Nothobranchius furzeri: one gene and its partners. The protein of the gene in region 1 purifies or fractionates together with the protein of each later gene. This does not show direct contact. Links are inferred from orthologs where the notes say so. Each region holds a gene or a part of one and is shown on either strand. Other genes may lie near its edges. The genes, in order: smarcd1, bcl7bb and bicra.

Evidence for each region.
Region 2: the proteins of smarcd1 (region 1) and bcl7bb purify together in Homo sapiens (affinity purification with mass spectrometry; 4 studies listed by BioGRID and IntAct, counting the BioPlex papers as one, with this or other methods). This does not show direct contact. The link is inferred for Nothobranchius furzeri from reciprocal best matches to the Homo sapiens genes SMARCD1 and BCL7B.
Region 3: the proteins of smarcd1 (region 1) and bicra purify together in Homo sapiens (affinity purification with mass spectrometry; 5 studies listed by BioGRID and IntAct, counting the BioPlex papers as one, with this or other methods). This does not show direct contact. The link is inferred for Nothobranchius furzeri from reciprocal best matches to the Homo sapiens genes SMARCD1 and BICRA.

What each region holds. Positions count from the first base shown.
Region 1 is NC_091743.1:58,867,910-58,871,662, forward strand, and holds the start of smarcd1 (SWI/SNF-related matrix-associated actin-dependent regulator of chromatin subfamily D member 1), read right to left. Parts: upstream 2,470-3,753; 5' UTR 2,427-2,469; coding exon 2,241-2,426; intron 1-2,240. UniProt on the Homo sapiens protein: Involved in transcriptional activation and repression of select genes by chromatin remodeling (alteration of DNA-nucleosome topology).
Region 2 is NC_091753.1:33,350,451-33,354,203, reverse strand, and holds bcl7bb (B-cell CLL/lymphoma 7 protein family member B-B), read left to right. Parts: upstream 1-845; 5' UTR 846-896; coding exon 897-1,009; intron 1,010-2,320; coding exon 2,321-2,396; intron 2,397-2,485; coding exon 2,486-2,573; intron 2,574-2,671; coding exon 2,672-2,833; intron 2,834-2,943; coding exon 2,944-3,047; intron 3,048-3,192; coding exon 3,193-3,264; 3' UTR 3,265-3,714; downstream 3,715-3,753. UniProt on the Homo sapiens protein: Positive regulator of apoptosis. Plays a role in the Wnt signaling pathway, negatively regulating the expression of Wnt signaling components CTNNB1 and HMGA1.
Region 3 is NC_091753.1:46,788,180-46,791,932, reverse strand, and holds the start of bicra (BRD4-interacting chromatin-remodeling complex-associated protein), read left to right. Parts: upstream 1-1,236; 5' UTR 1,237-1,304; intron 1,305-2,973; 5' UTR 2,974-2,978; coding exon 2,979-3,019; intron 3,020-3,131; coding exon 3,132-3,177; intron 3,178-3,638; coding exon 3,639-3,704; intron 3,705-3,753. UniProt on the Homo sapiens protein: Component of SWI/SNF chromatin remodeling subcomplex GBAF that carries out key enzymatic activities, changing chromatin structure by altering DNA-histone contacts within a nucleosome in an ATP-dependent manner.

The DNA of each region.
Region 1 (3,753 bases):
TAAAGGGGGAAAAAGAAGATGTTTTTCCAGACGCCAAGAAAAATTAAATGCCAAATCCACCCTGCAAAGTGTGTCACTGAGAGTTTAAAACAGAAATTATTCTTGTGCAAATATTGGTGTATTCACCTTTAATACTAGTTATTACACTGCAGCAGTCGCTGGACTGGTGCAGTTCAAAGTGGAGTGCATCAAATAAAACAATATTAACATAAAGGTGAGACGTGTCATAGTCCCCCCCCCCCCCCGCCAACACCACCTCCACCACAGCTGGAAAAATTCCTAGGGGAAACACTGTCCCTGATGATGTTAGCAGCTAACGAGGGGCAATTAGCTTAAAGAGGCGACTGTCCCCCTTTGTTCTCTGCCACGACGTGCTTCCTTTTAAGGCGTTCGTTCATCAGCATTATCTTCTTGTGAAAGAAGTCCTACTTTGCAGACTTTGCACTGTACATGCTTATTTTTGTAAAATGCTTTCAAACTTTGTGCTACATTGCAGGTCGCCATGTCTTGTTTTTCCGGTGATGCAATGGCTCACCCGAATGGCCGCTACTGCGCACGTGCCTCGAACAGAAAGACCGCAAGCAGCAGTGGTACTGCTGAAGCAGGTAAGATTAAAACAATGCGTAGAATAAACAACGTAGACTATTAAGTTTATTGATGACTATTTTGTTTGTTGATGTCATCATGACAAATCGACCAACCCTGGCAGGACAAGCTAACACTTTTAACCCTCCCACTGTCTTAATGGGTGACCCCACGAGGAAAGTTGACCGTTGAGCAGAATTGATTGTTTATCCCTTGAAGTCCACGTGGCAGTGGTGAGGTGGTGGTCACTAGTCGCCCATGCCACATGGACCCAAGGGATAAACCATCAACCCTGCTCAATGGTCAACTTTCCTCATGGGGTCACACCCATTAGGACAGTGGGAGGGTTAAGGTAAGGCAGACTGAAGCTTTCCCTGGAGCAAGCAGGAGGGAAGCCCCTAGCGCCGACCACCCCTAGCCCTCTGCTACTTGTCCATCAAAAGGACACGCCCCCAATCATTCATAATTTCAAGCTTTTATTACATCTAAACAGAAGAGTTACATAAATTCCCCCCCCCCCCCCATAAGCTGCACACACGTTGACTGTTAAAAAAAAGGTTGCACTACATGAAAAAAATAAATTAAAAAAGCTGCACAACACAACAAAGTGATGATGAACTGCATTGCTAATGCATTTCTTAATCAATTTTTTTCCCCAATTCGTTGTTGCAACAGTAGCTCAGGAGGTTGAGCTAGTTGATTAAATGAATGATCAAAACCTTTAACTGATACTCCAATTACATGAGTTAAACCTATCAGATAGTAGTTTCAACAGACATCTGCATATTAAAAGTTAAATTGAAACATCAGTCTGCACAAACACACAAAACATTACCTTTGTCATTTAAAGAAAAACTTTGCTCAGCTGGCTTGTGTCCTTTGGTGGAAATATTTTGACTTTCTTGATCGCGGGACTAAACTATTATTTTAGTTTTATTGTAACTATAGTACATCTGGAAAACTTTTGTTCTTTAACTCATGATTAAGTAGCACTAGTCTGATCTGAAAATCAGAATTTAGAATAAAGGTGAGGCTTGAAAGTTTAACTAGAATATTTTTAAAGTACAAAATCCATCAGTGACAAATTATTTCCAGTATATTATTAGATCAAAAGCACAAACTTCACGCATTAAAACGGAATTTGAGGCTTTATTCTTATTTAGTTTTTTCCGTCTGGAAAACTGATGGTTTCTTATCAGTGTAAACTTTTCATTCAAAAGCAGACTTTTGATTTTAAGACATCTAATAAATAGAAAATCCCAAACCTAATCGAATTGGGACTTTCAAACGTAACAAACTCACTTTTTGTGAATTTTCCTACACTACTCGAGCCCTCTCGGAGTGCTTTTATTCAAACTACAGAGCAAATTAGCAACGTTAGCATGATGAGCTAACTAGCTGCTTACTAAAACTTTAACGTTTGCGGGCGGGATGGGTTAGCAAATTCAAACACACCGATGGTAACTCAAGGGAAGTGGCTAAAATAAGTTTTGGGATAGACTGACTCTATTCAACCAGCCTGAGAGTTAGTCACAGCTTTGGTCCTCATGGAGAAACAGAAACAACGTTGGCCAGTAGCAACAAAGGAGCGATGAGGGGCTTTGTTCTAGCGAACAAGCTAACGCGTCAGCAGCAAACATGGAACGAGAACTCACCGGATACCCAGGCCCGGGCATCGGAGAGCGGTACATGTGGTTCTGCGCGGCTGACGAAGGCCCCATTCTTCCAGAGGGAGTACCGGGGCCCATACCTGGTCCTGCACCGGTTGCTGGCGGTCCAGGGCCCATTGCTCCACCGCCACCACCCGTCGGAGCAGATTGAAACCCCCCTCTGGCCGCCATCTCCTCTCTGAGTGTCGCCGCCGGTGGAAGCACGAAGCTAACGCGAGAACAAGCTCAATGGGGAGAGTTGGAGATGAAACAGCGCTATCTGCTGCTCACATCTGGTAACAAATAAATTAGCTTTTCTATTGAGATGCTGATGATAGTCTTTCAACCATCCATGAAGCCTGATAAATAAATAAATTAGAAGCGTTGTAGCCCAAAGTGGTGCAGAAAACAACTACATGCTTAATTTTGCATTTTTAAGCATACTAAAAACTTATTTTTATTGTTTTTGTATTTTAATTGGTGTGTTCAATTGATCCAAATGTTGTTTCTGGAGCTCTGAAAAAAGTGTCCACTATACAAATTTAGCATCATTTCAATTGCTTCCTGCAAGACCAAAAATTTAATAAAAACCCATTCTAACTTCGCTCACATATCTGTAACATCTATGACATCTACAAAGTCTGCAGAATATTTTTAAACCAAAACAACATATTCTGGAACTTTTACTGAAAATACCGTAAGAAAAGAGATTTTACTTTAAAGTAGAAGAAAAGCACAGATAAGAATGGTATTTTGAGTGATTTTGTCCCATTTGTCTCATAAAACTGAAATAAGCTGCATTAATTTACAAATTAATCACTTTGACATGCAACACATGAGCATCAGCAGATGCGTAACTTTTATTCAACGAGAAAATACATGCTGAAATGTGAAAAATATCAAAACATTACAGACTGCAGTAATTAGTTCTTTTTTAATTTTTATCAGAAGTTCATGAACTGCAAGTCGCACCATCTCCCTCTGTTTAGGAACATCACACAAATTATACACCACATCTCCTTTCATCACAGCAGGGGAACATAAATTAGTGAGCCAACTGCTTCCGTGTCTGAGAGGTGATCTGAATCTGCGGTGCCTCCATGAGGTTTTTCAGTTGACTCATGATCCTCTTTGAATGCTTGTTGATTGTATGCAGATGCAGAGATCCTAAGATGAGCAAAGTTTTAAATGTTTTGAGCTACGGTCCTGCAAAAATTCACAACAGTTTATGTATTTTTTCCCCCAACTTTTGATGATGTTACACTTTCTCTGTTCAGTATGGAGAATCGGCAGCACAAAACATGGGGCACCATTTGTTTGCATAATCTCTTTGTGTTGGATCAGAAACAGATTGCTGGCTGCCCGGGGGGGGGGGGGGGGGGGGGCATGTGTTTTTGGACATCTAAAAGCATCTACACTGTAATTATAATTTTCATTTTGGGCTTTATACCTTGGTGCACGAACAGGCTTATCCTACAGGCTTCTAAATGTGTTTAATAACAACTAATTGAAAAAATGG
Region 2 (3,753 bases), on another chromosome or scaffold:
AGAGGAGCTGAAGACGACAGAGCAACCTGGGCTCTCATAACACCTGAGCAGTGCCACAGACTGATCGAGTCCATGCCACGCCGCATTACTGCAGTTATTGAGGCAAAAGGAGCCCCGACTAAGTATTGAGTGCTATACATGCACATTCTTTTCATGTTCATTCTTTTCAGTTGGCCAACATTAGAGAAACAAACATTTTTTCATTGGCCTTTAGAATATTCTAATTTTCTGAGATACCAGATTTGATGTTTTCATTGGTTGTCACCTATAAATATCAAAATTAAACGTAATAAACATCGGAAATACATTGGTCTGTGTGCATTGCATGAATATAATGTACAAGTTTCACGTTTTGAATGGAATTACTGAAATATTTTCAACCTTTTGATGATATTCTAATTTACTGGCCAGCACCTGTACATCATGCAAACATTTAATTTGAGCTGTTTTAAACTGTGCTGAATAAAAGCCGGGCAGAAAATAAAGTAGCAATAATAATAATAATAATAATAATTCAAGTAATAACTAAAATTCATATATGTATGATAAGACTTACTTGTTCTTGCTTCCACAGCTTATATTCATATATAGAATTAACACTTTCTTCTTCTTCTTTTATCTAAAAAAGCATTTTTTTACTAAAATTGTAAGAAAAGAACAAAAAATTATTTAACATTGTTGGCAATTTAGTTCAAATTTTTCTGCTAGACACGTATAAACAAAAATTAAATATTTAAAAGTATCAGTTAAAAAATAAGTACATGTGTTAAATTAATGAATCACTTATAAATCGACACCACACGTGTCCACAGTGAAGGGGATGAGCTCAGACAACAAATTCTCGCGAGACTTCCATTGTTGAAGAGGACTGGGGCTTGAAGTTTTCAGATCTGTAGATGAACCATAACAGCATCAAGATGTCGGGACGTTCAGGCCGCGCAGAGACCCGAAGTCGGGCTAAAGACGACATTAAAAAGGTCCTGGCAGCCATCGAGAAAGTCCGTAAATGGTACGTAAGCTTTATGTGGGAGAAAATTTAGAGGGGATTGTTTTAGTGGACCGTTGCTTGCCATTTTGCTGCGTCGCTCAACAAACTTCAGTCGGAAAAGTTAGGTGATTGGCAACGCTGCTGACCAATCACAGCCTCTGTTGGAACGAAGAGGCGGGGCTAAGATTTTTTTTCCCCTACCCCCTCGTTTGGAGCTGTCAATATGGCTCCAGTTAACTGACATGCGTCGTACTGTGATGTGGACGTTTCGTAATGTGAAAAATGACCGACGAGCTTTTTAAAAATATTTGACCCACTGCCATTACTGCTGCGGGCTGGGAGAACCATTACTAGCTGTGGGCTACACTGGCTACAGACACATCAGGGTGCGGATTAAACAGGCAGAGGGTGCCGACCATCCTCCAGTCCCGACTCCCATATGTGCTTCAGCTAAATCAAAATTCTAGTTTCAACATGTCCATCATTATGGATTACAATGAAACGCATTCATTTTAACAGTTTACAAGGCACGTGTTATACTATAATGCTTTCAGGTGTCATCTAAACATGTGCATGCACATCCAAAATTACACACAGCATGATGAGGAGGGAGGTCTGTCAGCTGTTCACTTGAACATCAACATAGTTTCAATGGGAAATTTACCATTACATTTTTATAAATTTTATGTGATAATAATTCACACATATACTTATCTTGAAATAGCCAGGATGTTCCACAATACAAGATGTACAAATTAATTAGAAATTGTTTAAAACATTGTCTGAGTCTTTGATGGCTCCATAGCGCAAATAAAGTGGGATTTGGATCAGAATTAAATGGAGATAATTGCTACTTAGCATATGATTTATGTTGAACATGGTTGGTGCCATCCTTGTCTTTACAACATAAGAAAAAAATCAATAATCAACAACTAACCACTCCAAAAAAATCCTCCTAATATTAGTATTCAAATATGTTTTCAAGTTTAAACCACTTTTAAGCTTGATAATGGTTAGCTAAACTGTCACTTAATATAAAAGTTAGAAAGATCACCTGTTCTCTAATTAAATTAGGAAACTGAAAGGATGGATAAAAAGTAAATATCCAGGCACTGGTCAAGTAATGGCAAATAGTAGTTATTGTCCAGTTTAGGAGTTACCTGAAATCATAATGCTAATTTCTTTCATATCAAGAAAGAAAAACACATTCTAGGTGAGGTGAAATCTGAACGAATGTTTTTCTTCATTTAGGGAGTTCATGGCTCAGTTGGTGTCTAAACTTGCTGCACGTCTACTAAACTCCTGTATAACAATGATCTATTTTATTTCCAGGGAGAAGAAATGGGTGACGGTAGGAGACACATCTTTACGCATATTCAAGTGGGTGCCAGTAACGGAGACGAAGCAGGTGTGGGCCCTCGTCATGCTTGCTGAAACCAGTACATCTTGTTTATGTTTGTATCCTCCTCGTGAAACCCTCTCTCACTGTTCCATCAGATATTTCGCACCAAATCGACTGGTGGCGAGGGCAGGGGTTTAAAAGATGTGGTCCTAGAGAACAATAATACTTTACTGGATTTTACTGGTAGGTTATTTATAAAGAAGAAACTAATAAATAAGAAATTAGTAACACCTGGCTGTAATGGATGGTCACTTGTGAGCTACATTTTTTTCTCATCTTAGATGAAAACAGCAACCAGAGCTTCCTGTCAGATGTTTATCAGCCAAAAATGGATAACAGCAGCAGCAGCAACTCCAGCTCCCAGCAGGTCAGCCCCCCCCACCCCTACAGCCTCCGAGCTGAAGACTCTCAGCCCCCGATGCTCGGCCAGGAGAGCGTGGACGGTACGGCAATGATTCTGAGTTCAGCTAAGCATCTGCAGTTAGAAGATTTTTTTTGAAGGAGCACATTTGTATTTGTCATTTATTGACATATACATCTACACATCACTCAGAGCCAGCTCATTCAGGACGGGAAGCTGCAGACGAGCCCCCAACTCTCATCAAGGAGGACCCTCTCACATCAGGAGCTGTCAGACGGGGTGCCTCAGACACACAGGTTAACTTTGACTATGTAAACTATTTAAACAAGATTAAACTAAATGATTGATTAGATACGTTACATGTTGTGTGTCTGTTGCATGTTCTGAATTTAATAAAAATATATAAGGACAGAAATGACCTGATCTTTATTTGTTCCACAGGAAGAGTTGGATGAATCAGGAGCACCTTCTTTAAAGCGGATCTGCACAGGGGAAACCACCTCCCTAAGATAGCTTATTTATAACTATTTTTGTCAAAATGCACGGTAGGGGATCTGGGTGGTTGGAAGAATAACAAGGCTGTCATAGTGATTGTTTATTCATATCTACACAAATAGTACTCCATACATTTGAGCTAATGGGGAAAGTATCCCAAGAATGTTGCTTTATTTCTCACTTTGAGAGTCTTTGAAGTCTTGTTTGGTTGAAATATTTTTAAACAAAGTGAAGAGGTTATTTCAGACTATTGTGCATTTCCACACACACTCTGTACATGTTTCAAGATTCTGCCACAAGTTTGATTTTTGTCTTCATGTGTTGCAGTTTTTTTGGCATGTTTCCATCATATTTTTTATGAAGTATTTCGTGTATCTCATTTAGCAGATTGGTGGTTAGATGTGCCATTATATTTGAGCTTGATGGGGGAATTTTTCCAGAATAAAACAAGTCTTTTTTTTTTTTGAATACACATAAGTTGGTGTTTTCTTTTATAAGTTAGGGTTT
Region 3 (3,753 bases), on another chromosome or scaffold:
CACATCAGCAGCCAGCGCTTTCTCTGTCACGTGACAATGGGAGGGCGGTCACAGCCCTGCTGCCTTCAGGTGCTGCTCGTACGGTCCAGAGTTGGTCCATTACAAATCTATAATGTTTCATGTTATAAACTGATTGTAGACCATGCTGCAACACAATATATCAATCGATAATTTAATTAAGAAACATGTTCGTTGTTAATATTTGCTGTAGAAACAAAGGAATCGCTTCTAATCTGTCTCAGGATCATTACAGTGCGTTCATGACAATCTATATAAAACAGTTCCCTTGTGTTATCTGTTTTCAACAGCCAATTATTTTTCTATAAGCAATCAGACATTAAAGGTGACAATATTTAAGCATAAATGTTGTAATAAAACGTAATAGCGTAAATATCTTCAAAAGTGCAGTTTTAAAGGAATATTGATTAGAATTATAATAAGAAAATGCTTTCCTTTAGTCAATGCCAGTTCCATTATAAAGAGACATTTTTAATCAAAATGGGTTAGCATCATAATGAAACTGTTTGTCAGCTGAAATCTTTACAATTTTAACATAAATAATAGATAACAACTATGTTAAGTGGTTTTCCAGGCTTTGCATTATAGCACAGTGAATTAAATGTGTGTAAAATATTTTGTTGAAAAATACATGACAAACATATTTTAGGGCTATGGGTTGTGGTAGGTAACTACATGAGTCAAACATTCAAATACCTTTTTAAAATTTACAAAAATAATCACGTATTTTAGAACTATACAAAAATTATTTAAAATATGGAAAAGGAATGTTTTCTTGTAGATTATGTTACAGTATTTTGCTTAGGCTTTTTGTAGATTAGTTTGTTCTTTTCTTAGCCAAAATCATATAATCTGATTGCAGTTCAAGACTGGGTTGCATTTATCTAACAAATCTGCTGGCATTTGTTAACATGACTGCTTTTATATTTTTTTACATTTGTGATCCAGTTTCTTTTATGATTTCATTTTAAGCAATTTCTCCCCACAGGCTTCCTCTGCTGTTCCTGCCTTTCTATTGATGTTTTTTGAGTTTTAAAAATGAAAACAAGTTAACATGAAGAATATGTCAAATTTAAGAATGCACTAATTAACACAACAAAAATGTTCAAAAACCGTTTAATGTTCCGAATGGGTATTTGTGTGTAAAGAAAGTCTCGATAAACAACATGGATTTCAATCAGGCAGAGCGGAAGTCTGCCGTTTCCTGCCAGTAGTTGGGTCCTGTTGAGCAGCCCGTGCGAGGCTGTCCTGGAGACCCCGCGCTGCCTGCACCTCTAACGTCTCGGGTGAGTTTGTTACAATGTAACAATTTCTCCATTAATCCCAATATCCGCTACAAAGCTGCGATATCTGCTAACTGTTCAGCAGACACGAACCGCACTGCTACCGCAAAAGAAGCGACACACTGCCGCATCACACCGTAAACAGGCTCGTTTTCCAACGAATTCCCAAGCATACCCCCTCTCATCCAAGAGTATTCCAACATTTACTGATATTCTGCTTGCAATTAGCAATAGCTCGCCACGTAGTTGCGTTTACGACTATAAGCAGACAGCATTTCTTCGTTTTAGCTCAACCGGACTGCCGCTGTGCGTAATTTGTGTTAAAATTGTGTCACTCTGGTTTGTTTTGAATGTCAAAGGCTCGAGCTAGCTATACGTCTGAATATTGTTGATAGCGGGGGTAGCTTGCTAGGCTAACGAAAGTCAACCCAAAAGCACCCAAATTGCTGAAATTACGGATGAAACTGTTTTAATTTCAAACATTTGAGTCGTAGGTCAGCTGTGTTGCTGTCAGATACTGTACGTTGGGGGAATTTGTTGAGGTATGCATGCAAAGCTCATTAAAAACATCAGCTAGCATCTAGCATTCCGTTTGCAGCGTCTCCATTCATATCCTGCGCACTGGTTTTCTGTAACCGAGCTGCGATCGGCGGACAGCTGGGACTCCTGCATCATGTCCACAATTTATTTGCATAGAAACTGTGTTGGTTTGGTTTTCGTGTTGTTGGACGAGCTGTGCACGGTTAAAAGTCAGCGACAGCTTACGCTCAAAATCTTTCCAGGCGGTGCGAAAACCGCGCGTTTTCAGTTTGTTGTCTGCTGTTTGATCGTGTTCAGAAATTTTAAGTTTTGTTACGTGTCTCGATGAGTTCAGGGCCGCACCAAGGTTGTTTGATACCGAGCGTACATGGGGAAAAATCTCGCTTTGTAATTGATATTGATAATCAAACGCTAGGTTAGACAGTTTTCGTTTTTTAGGAACTCAGAATTACTTTCTATGTTGATTCATAGTTTTTAATATAAACTAAATGCCTGATAGCATTGAGTGGTCTTTAAGATTTTTTTCCAAAGAAAAAATTTGTGTATAAAGTATATGAATACATTTTTTCATTGTTTTGAACGTTTCTTGCTGTCAAACATTTATTCATAAGTCAGAAAGAGTTTGTTGCTGGCCTATGGAGACTTCTCATAGCTTTTTACCATCAGGGAGGAAATAAAAAAACCTATGTCTAAAGGGAAAGACTCACTTCCACTAAAGAACTCTTTCTTCAAAAGAAGACACAGATGATTACTGAATAATTACCCGGATGTTTTTGGGGTGTGTGCCATGCCATCTCTTACTGCAAAAAACTGCCACTTAACAATATTTGTAATTATTCGCTTGGATTGTTTAAATGCCTGTATCGGTGGCTCAAGACTTTTTGAAAGTCAGTCTTTATCTTGCATCTACATGTCTTTAATGGCTCGAGTTTTGCTGGAGTAAATATGAAAATGTCGTTTAAAATTTAGTCAGCATGTGGTTTGAGAAAGTCAAGAATAATTATGAAGTTAAACCTAAGACAAACCCCATGTAATTCTTAATAACCATGTTATACAAAATGTAACTGAGTATTTTGGTTGTGATTGTTGAACAAGTCATGACCGAGCTTGAAGGTGTTTTTCATCTCAACAGTTGTCATGGATGATGAAGACGGCAGGTGCCTTCTAGATGTAATTTGGTAAGTATGTTCTGACAGCGTGAAAGACCTGATTCTAGTATTGTAGGAAATTTTATATCAGATTGTTCGGTTATGTGTCATTGTGTCACACATCTGTTGTTTTCTCCATCAGCGACCCAGAAGCTCTTAATGACTTTCTTCATGGATCTGAGACCCATGTAAGTATGAGAAGGGCTAACAAATGGCCGCATTTAGCAAAGCTTCACGATACAAGTTCTCCACTGATGAGTGACTTGTTCAGGTTTTATCTTTGTTGCTTTTGCATCTCTAATAAAATCAGTTTCGGCTCACAAGTTGATACACCCTGTAACCTGCATCCCTCACTGCTCTCATTAAACTTTTTATAACTCCTCTGCCTAATGGTTGCATTTGGGTTGCCAGAACAATAATTCCTATTACTAACGTTTCCCAACTCTTGAGTTATTCCTGTCATTTTGTTCCTCTGTAGCTTATCTCTTTACTGATGCTTTACGTTCTGGGTTCTCTGAACCATGTTCTGCCCTTGCCTTGCCCTCCCTCTGTTTTGATGGTCTGTATGTTTGTCCTGGTGACTTTTTTGCCTGCTGGTTTGGGTGTCTTTGGTTTCTGTCTGTCTTACCCTTGGTGGGTGTGTCTGTAGTTGGACACTGACGACCTTTTGGATGGTTCGAGTGACCCCTCCAGCTCGTTCTTCTCTGCCACTGGGGTGAGTAAAGCCCCCCACTTTTTTTTCCTGCTGTTGTCCATCCATCTTT